Macaca mulatta: one gene and its partner. The protein of the gene in region 1 purifies or fractionates together with the protein of each later gene. This does not show direct contact. Links are inferred from orthologs where the notes say so. Each region holds a gene or a part of one and is shown in the gene's direction. Other genes may lie near its edges. The genes, in order: NEDD1 and TUBGCP6.

Region 1 (3,816 bases):
AATGAATTACAATTTTTTTCATAAATTAATAATTTTAAAAAAGGGTAGTAATTAGAGTACTTGCAAATCAGAAGTAACCCAAATGTCTGACATGATTATTTAGATAAATTGGTGTACTCGTGCATTCATATCTTAAACAGCTATTAAAATCACGTAGAAAACATTAACATGACTGTTTATTATAAAGCGTTATTCCAGGTTTTCTGTTGATACTATACTGAATACACAGAAACATACATACACACGGAAAAATACTTAAAGGACATCCCCTCAAAATGTCAACCAGCTTTTCTCTGGGTTTATGGATGATTTTGGGTGGGATTATGGATGATTTTTCTTCTTTGTGATCAAAAAAAACCTTTTTTCTATTAAATAATTATCTTAGTAGAGACTGACAAACTATAACCAATGGTGTAGCCTACTTATTTTTGTAAAGTTTACTGGAACACAGCTATGCTTTTCATCTGTATATTATCTGTAACTACTTTTCAGTACAATAGCATAAAATATTTACTGTCTGGCCCTTTAAGAATAAGTTTTTGAAACCTTCCCCTCGCCTGTAGTGAGTGGTGTGCTTTTTATATTTAGAAACAGTCTCCCTCCTCCATAAACACACAACATTCTTACCCAATAATGTGTTACAAGAAAAAATAGCATTGTTGCTTATGGTGCTGGGATTTTTTTTTCCCCCCATAAGCTTCTTGATTTAATTCTTTTCTTATAAATAGTTTAGTCTGGAACAAGATAGGGACTTAATGACTTAAGTGCTGCTGATACTAAAATAAGTTAATATTTATTTTAAATATAATTTGGAGGCCAGGCGTGGTGGCTCACACCTGTAATCCCAGCACTATGGGAAGCTGAGGCAGGTGGGGTGCTTGAATCTGGGAGTTTGAGACCAGCCTAGGCAAAATGGCGAAATCCTGTCGCTTAAAAAAAAAAAAAATATATATATATATATATATATATACACACACACAATTAAATATATATATAAATTATATATATATATATAATTTAGTAAATCAGTGTTTTGTTTATCCAGGATTCTTGGCTAATATCTTAATGATATTCTAAAGAGAAGATTTAATAGATGTAGAAAGTTAAGAAATGAAATTCTGTTAGTATTATCACAGAAATAATTGGAGGCATTTAAAGAATTCAGTGTGGTTACTTAAGGGTCTTTAAAAATATATGTAAAAGATGTTTGAATGGTGGGTACATAAGCAGTGATGAGCAAGTAAGTTATGAGCTTCTGAAAATGGTGGTGACAGCTGCTGTGTACCTGATTCTTTACAGAAATGCTATTTAATCCTTAAAATAATTGTGACAGGAAAACAAGAGTGTTTTCTGTTATGTAAATGACAACACTGAGTTTTGGAGAGTTTAAGTAATTCACTTAAATCATACAGAGGTTTGCTGAGCGTTCACTGAACTTAGGTTTATCTGAAAGGAACATTTATCATTATCTTTAGCCTTTTCTTTTTTTTTTGTCTTGATCAAGAATATGTTTTTAACTGGTTATCAAGTTGTATTATAGACAGTGGTAAACTTCTTGTTCCTTGCTACCTGCAAGCAGATTCTGGATGACCATGTTTTAAGGATGTTTTAGGAAAATTCCTGCTGTTGCTAAAAGGTTAAACTTTTTGAACTTTGAGAATCTACCAGGTCTATGATTTTTATGGTGTTTTAAAAAATTCTACTTGTATATTTAGTCTAAATTTAGATCATGTGAAGGACCATAACTATATGAACTCCTAAAGTGCTGTAGAAATCTTTTTAGAAATCATGTTTTGCCTTATATTTTGATATGTTGTGTATGACTCTGTAATCATTAACATAATGTACTAAGGATCTCTGTGTCTTTTATATAGTTAACATTCATGTAGTTTATTTTTCTTGAATATAGACCAGAGAAAAGATTTGACTATTCAAGTTGGATATACTTTTTCCCAACAAAAATAAAAACTATGTAAACCAACATTTTCTCTTTGTACTTTAGCCATTGAAAATGAGCCATATTTAATGGGTTAACATATTAATTGTCTTAACTTAGGTACCAGGTGACTAATACTCCTTTTTTTTTTCTTAGAAAAAAAAAGTCTGCATTTCCTAGACAATTTTTTTTTGTTATTGAGATCTAATATATATTATTTTAGACATTTTAGAGTTAAGTAGAATATAAATTTGTAGGGAAAAAAATAGCTTAAATGTAAAGTACTTAATTCTCAGCCTAGTAAATGACAACATCAATACAAGTTTGAGAGTAACATTTTAATAAAAAAGAAAAGTAGATAAAATTCAGTTAGTTTTAATCTAAGATCAGTTTATTCAAACTAAATCTTTGTTTATTCTGGTCCATAGAAACTAAGAAGAGAGAATATCTCCACTACCCACAGGGATTTGTGTTTAGAGAAAGGCCAGCATTGCCCTCAAGCTGATGGTTTGGAAACAGTGGATATAGTCCATCCCCAGTCTAGAGTGTTGCCAGTTTTTCCTTTGTGGTTTAATTTTTTTTTTAAATTATGCTTCAAGTGTTGAATTGTCAGTGCATCAGATGCTCAGATTCAAACGAATGCATCAAAATATCTAAGATATAAAAAACAAATACAAAATATTATTGCTTTTTTTTTCTCCCAGTATTCCCTTTTACTTGTTCATGATTTGACTGTGACTAGGCCTTTTATATATGGTGAATGTTCTAACCCTGATGAATTCATGTAGATAATCTCAATGTATTATATTTTTCCTCTGAAAGGGGAAGATTGAGGTAGCTATACTCCAAGATAATAAAATGGTGAATATTAATAGACTATTGATTGGTATGTTTCAGTTATTGGTATGTCATCTTATGGTCCACTGAATGACACTGTGGTTGTCATGATTGAAGTTTGTTACTCTTTTTTTCTTTTTTTTTTAAGACAGAGTTGTTTGTTTGTTTGTTTGTTTTTGTTTGTTTTGTTTTGTTAAGACAGCGTCTCACTCTGTCGCCCAGACTGGAGTACAATGGCGTGATCTTGGCTCACTACAACCTCCGCCGCCTCTGCCTCAGCCTCCTGAGTAGCTGGGATTACAGGTGCCTGCCACTATGCCCAGCTAATTTTTGTATTTTTAGTAAAGATAGGGTTTCACTAGGTTGGCCAGGCTGGTCTTGAACTCCTGACCTCTGATGATCCACCTGCTTCAGCCTCCTGAAGTGCTGGAATTACAGGCGTGAGCCACCATGCCTGGCTGAAACCTGTCACTCTTACACATCAGAGAAATCCTAAACCCCATGTGAATAGTGTGGTTGGCCATAATTTATATGGCTTATATAAAACATCCTTGTGAATGCTTATAATTACATAAAATTTATTCTTTCATTTTTGTAGTCTGTTCGGCAGTTGAAGTACTCCTTGTTTAAGAAATCACTACTGGGCAGTGTTTCGGATAATGGAATAGTAACTCTCTGGGATGTAAATAGTCAGAATCCATACCATAACTTTGACAGTGTACACAAAGCTCCAGCTTCAGGCATCTGTTTTTCTCCTGTCAATGAATTGCTCTTTGTAACCATAGGCTTGGATAAAAGAATCATCCTCTATGACACTTCAAGTAAGAAGTAAGTGTGACGTGCTTGTTTTTAAATTTAGTAACAAATAGCTATTATTCCACTAACAGGCATATTTGTGATTTGTATAGACCTCTGACTAACGTCCAGGGGTCCTAAAGTTTGTACTGTTGATGAATCTAGTAAGAAAGAATTTTCTTTTCAATCAGAAAAAAATAGATGGATTGCAGGTAGTATTTAGAGTACTTCTGAAACATGAAAATAGA
Region 2 (3,816 bases), on another chromosome or scaffold:
CAAGTGATCCACTTGCTTCCGCCTCCCAAAGTGCTGGGATTACAGATGTGAGCCACTGCACCCAGCCTGTTTTGTTTTGTTTTGTTTTTTGAGACAGGATCACCCAGGCTGGAGTGCAGTGGTTCAAACATGACTCACTGCAGCCTCAACCTCCTGTGCTCAAATCGATCCTCCTGCCGCAGCCTCCTGAGTAGCTGGGACCAGCAGGCCTGCACCACCACGCCCAGCTAATTTTAAATTTTTTTTGTCTTTTTTTTTTTTGAGACGGAGTCTTGCTCTGTTGCCCAGGCTGGAGTGCAGTGGCGCCATCTCAGCTCGCTGCAACCTCCGCCTCCCACATTCAATGATTCTTCTGCCTCAGCCTCCTGAGTAGCTGGGACTACAGGTGTGCAGCACCACGCCCAGCTAACTTTTTGTATTTTTAGTAGAGACAGGGTTTCATCATGTTGGCCAGGATGGTCTTGATCTCCTGACCTCGTGATGCGCTGGCCTGGGCCTCCCAAAGTGCGGGAATTAGAGGCAAGAGCCACCACACCCAGCCTAGAGATGTCTGTGTGTTTTTTTTTTTTTTTTTTTTTTGAGACGGAGTCTCACTCTGTCGCCTAGGCTGGAGTGCAGTGGCACAATCTCAGCTCACTGCAACCTCTGCCTCCCACATTCAACGATTCTCTTGCCTCAGCCTCCTGAGTAGCTGGGACTACAGGTGCACACCACCATGCCCGGCTAATTTTTGTGTTTTTAGTAGAGACGGGGCTTTGCCATGTTGGCCAGGCTTATCACGAACTCCTGACCTGAAGTGATGCACCCGCCTCGGCCTCCTGAAGTGCTGGGATTACAGGCGTAAGCCACCATGCCTGGCCTAACTTAAAATTTTTGTAGAGATGGGGGTCTCGCTATGTTGCCCAGGCTGGTCTCAGACTCCTGGGCTCAAGTGATCCTCCTGCCTCAGCCTCCCAAAGTGCTGGGATTATATGTGTGAGCCACTGTGCTTGGCCTAACAGCTCTTTTTAAAATATCTCTTTAGGATATACACAGTGCTGTTGTGATTTAGTATCTTGTTTCCTTGTAATGTGGGATATCTCTTTTCCTTTCTAACGTGCGTATTTGCAGCTGTAACCTCCCTCCTGGCTTCTGCTGCACCCCGTTCGTTTCGGTTGTCATGAGCCCTCTACTGGGGGTCTCCACTCTCTGGTTACAAACACATTGCGGGGAATGTGCTGTGGCAAGTCTTTGTGCATCTTCCATCGTTTCCGCTCTTTCATCCCGAAGAGTTGAATGAGCGGGTCTCACGGCAAACATGTTTTATAGCTTCTGCCCTAGGAGGCTGTCTGTGTACTTGTGTCCTGTGGAAGGTGTTCTGTTGTTTCCTACCCTTTTCTACACTTGGCATTTTAAACATGTATTTTTCAGTGTGGTGAGAATTTGTGCCTTGTTTTGGTTTGTACGTTTTTGTCCCTCAGTGTAGGAGTTCTGGGTGCGCCTTCTGGGTGTTTGCTTTTGGGTCCTGGGGGCACTCTAGGTGGTGTGGGGTTGGGTGCAAGGGTGGAAGGAGATGGCACCTTCCTGGGGGTCTGGGTGCCTGGCCTCTGAGCAGTGTCCTCTACCCCTGTGCAGCCGGCCCAGGCCTTTGTGGTGAAGCGGGGTGTCCACGTGTCGGGAGCGTCTCCCGAGAGCATCAGCAGCCTGCTCTCGGAGGTGGCCGAGTATGGGACCTGCTACACGCGCCTGAGTCACTTCTCTCTGCAGCCGGTCCTGGACTCTTCGTACAGCAAGGGCCTCGTGTTCCAGGTACGGCCTCTGCCTCGTGGCTGTCACACATCCTTGTGAGAACGGTGCACACGACCTGGAAAAGAGAATCTCAGAAGTCCTTCTGCAGGACCAGACAGTCTAAACCTTTTCTTTCCTTGCTAACATCTGAAACCCAATAGTGGCTCATGAGGGATGGGTCAGTGAAGATGTTTTACCTCACTGGAAACCTGGGGCAGATGCGTGTGGGCCCTGGGGTGTGTGGGAGGCAGGTGCAGCCAGCATTCGGGGCATGCGAGGCAGGAAAGGCGTTAGTGGGGCTCTTGCCGCCTGCTCCCCAGTGGGCCCGGCACATTGCGGATGACTGACACTGCCCGGCCCTCGTGTTGGGTGAATTTACACTGCTGGGCGTTCTGAGCCAAGTCTGGCTCCGGAAGCCGCTCTTTGGTGAGTCTTGAAGCTGGCTCATATGCTGAGTAGAGACCCATGGGACAGAGGCTGCACCTTGATTGGGAGAGAATAGGCAGGCGGATGATGGGTAATTTGGGGGCTGAGAGGAGGGTGTTCGGAAGGTGGGCAGAGAGCACTGGAGGAGCCAGGCGGCGCAGCCTCCTTCAACTGTTGCTGCCACAGCAGGGGCTGTAGGGTGGGGTGATGTGGTGAGGTTTAGGTTTTAGACGGGCTGCGGAGGTGGGCATGGTGGGAGCTGCATGGGACGGGGAGAGCTTCTAGGCAGAGGCTCAGGCCTGGGGGACTTGAGGGCTGCAGATGGTGGAGAAGGGGGCAGAGCAGGGACACTGAGAAGGGCTGGACTGTGGTTCCCACTCATCTGGCAGGCGTGGCCAGGAGGGTTCTGGGGTGGGTGGACTGAGATTGGTCCAGGGTGCGCCTGTCTTGGTGTGACCTGCAGGGCCTGCTGCTGTGGCATTGCCCAGGATGCTGGTGCCACTGAGACCACTGTGGTCCGAGCAGACGCAGCTCTCACAGCACTAGTGTCTGTGCACAGAGCGCAGCCGCCATTTCCCCCCTCACCCCTCAACCCCTATGCCACGCCCCTGGGGCAGCTGGTCTCAGATGAGAGGAAGGGTTGGTGGGGGGGGCCACATTTCCACCTGGTCCAGTGGTGGGACGTGGCTCACAGAGGCCCATTGCTTGGAAATGGAGCCCAGAGCTGAGGCAGGAAACAAAGCGCTGTGCCCAGTACTGGTGCCCCTCAGGCCCTGGTCACAGCTGCGTCCATGTGCTTGGCCGCCCTCCTCCCAGCCTCTTTGCCCACAGGCCTTCACCAGTGGCCTGAGGAGGTACCTGCAGTATTACCGGGCCTGCGTCCTTTCCACTTCGCCCACCCTGAGCCTCCTCACCATTGGTTTTCTCTTCAAGAAACTGGGCCGGCAGCTCAGGTGAGCCTCAGCATGGTGACTGAGCAGGGGACTTTGCAGGAGTGGCATGGAGCCTGCTGGGTGATGGAGGGTTTGCTCTGCTTCCTGGCAAGGAGGGCCTGTGAGAACAGCCCTCAGCAGGTGACTGGATGGCCCTTGGCTGGCCGAGTTCACCAGGTGCCAGGCAGAGTGGGTGTGTCTCCCATGGGCCTACCACAGCTGGCCCCATCCAGGCCCTCCAGGCCTGGTGGCTCCTGCCTAATTGGCACACAGGGTCCCTAGGGATGTGGCTTCTGGTACACACAAGCTGGTTACTGAGCAACCAGGCTGGGGAGCTACTGGCAAGTGCTGTCAGACGAGGAAGAGTGAGGAGTTGGGCGTTGGGAGCAGTGGGAGAGGCGACCTTCCAGGCAGAGGAGCAGAATGTGGCAGCCCTGAGGAGACCCAAGGGCTGAGACACCGTGGGGCAGGGGAGCCTGGGCTGTGAAGGCGCGAGTTGTGGCAGGTGCTTGGTGCCACTGTGTGGATGGGAGGGGCTCTCAGGTGCAGCCCCCGGAAGTGGGAGGATCAGGGTGATTAGTGTGTTGGCCAGAGCCTGGGAGGGAGGGGCCTGTTGGGTGTGGGTACTTCAGTGGGTCTGTGTGGACAGTGCAGAGGCCCAGGGCTGGGCACAAGTCCTCCAGGGAGCCCA

What was found.
Region 2: the proteins of NEDD1 (region 1) and TUBGCP6 purify together in Homo sapiens (affinity purification with mass spectrometry; 3 studies listed by BioGRID and IntAct, with this or other methods). This does not show direct contact. The link is inferred for Macaca mulatta from reciprocal best matches to the Homo sapiens genes NEDD1 and TUBGCP6.

What each region holds. Positions count from the first base shown.
Region 1 is NC_133416.1:104,258,607-104,262,422, forward strand, and holds part of NEDD1 (protein NEDD1), read left to right. Parts: intron 1-3,371; coding exon 3,372-3,601; intron 3,602-3,816. UniProt on the Homo sapiens protein: Required for mitosis progression. Promotes the nucleation of microtubules from the spindle.
Region 2 is NC_133415.1:1,217,238-1,221,053, forward strand, and holds part of TUBGCP6 (gamma-tubulin complex component 6), read left to right. Parts: intron 1-1,037; exon of another isoform or gene 1,038-1,614; coding exon 1,615-1,788; exon of another isoform or gene 1,789-1,843; intron 1,844-1,964; exon of another isoform or gene 1,965-2,250; intron 2,251-3,024; coding exon 3,025-3,146; exon of another isoform or gene 3,147-3,244; intron 3,245-3,816. UniProt on the Homo sapiens protein: Component of the gamma-tubulin ring complex (gTuRC) which mediates microtubule nucleation.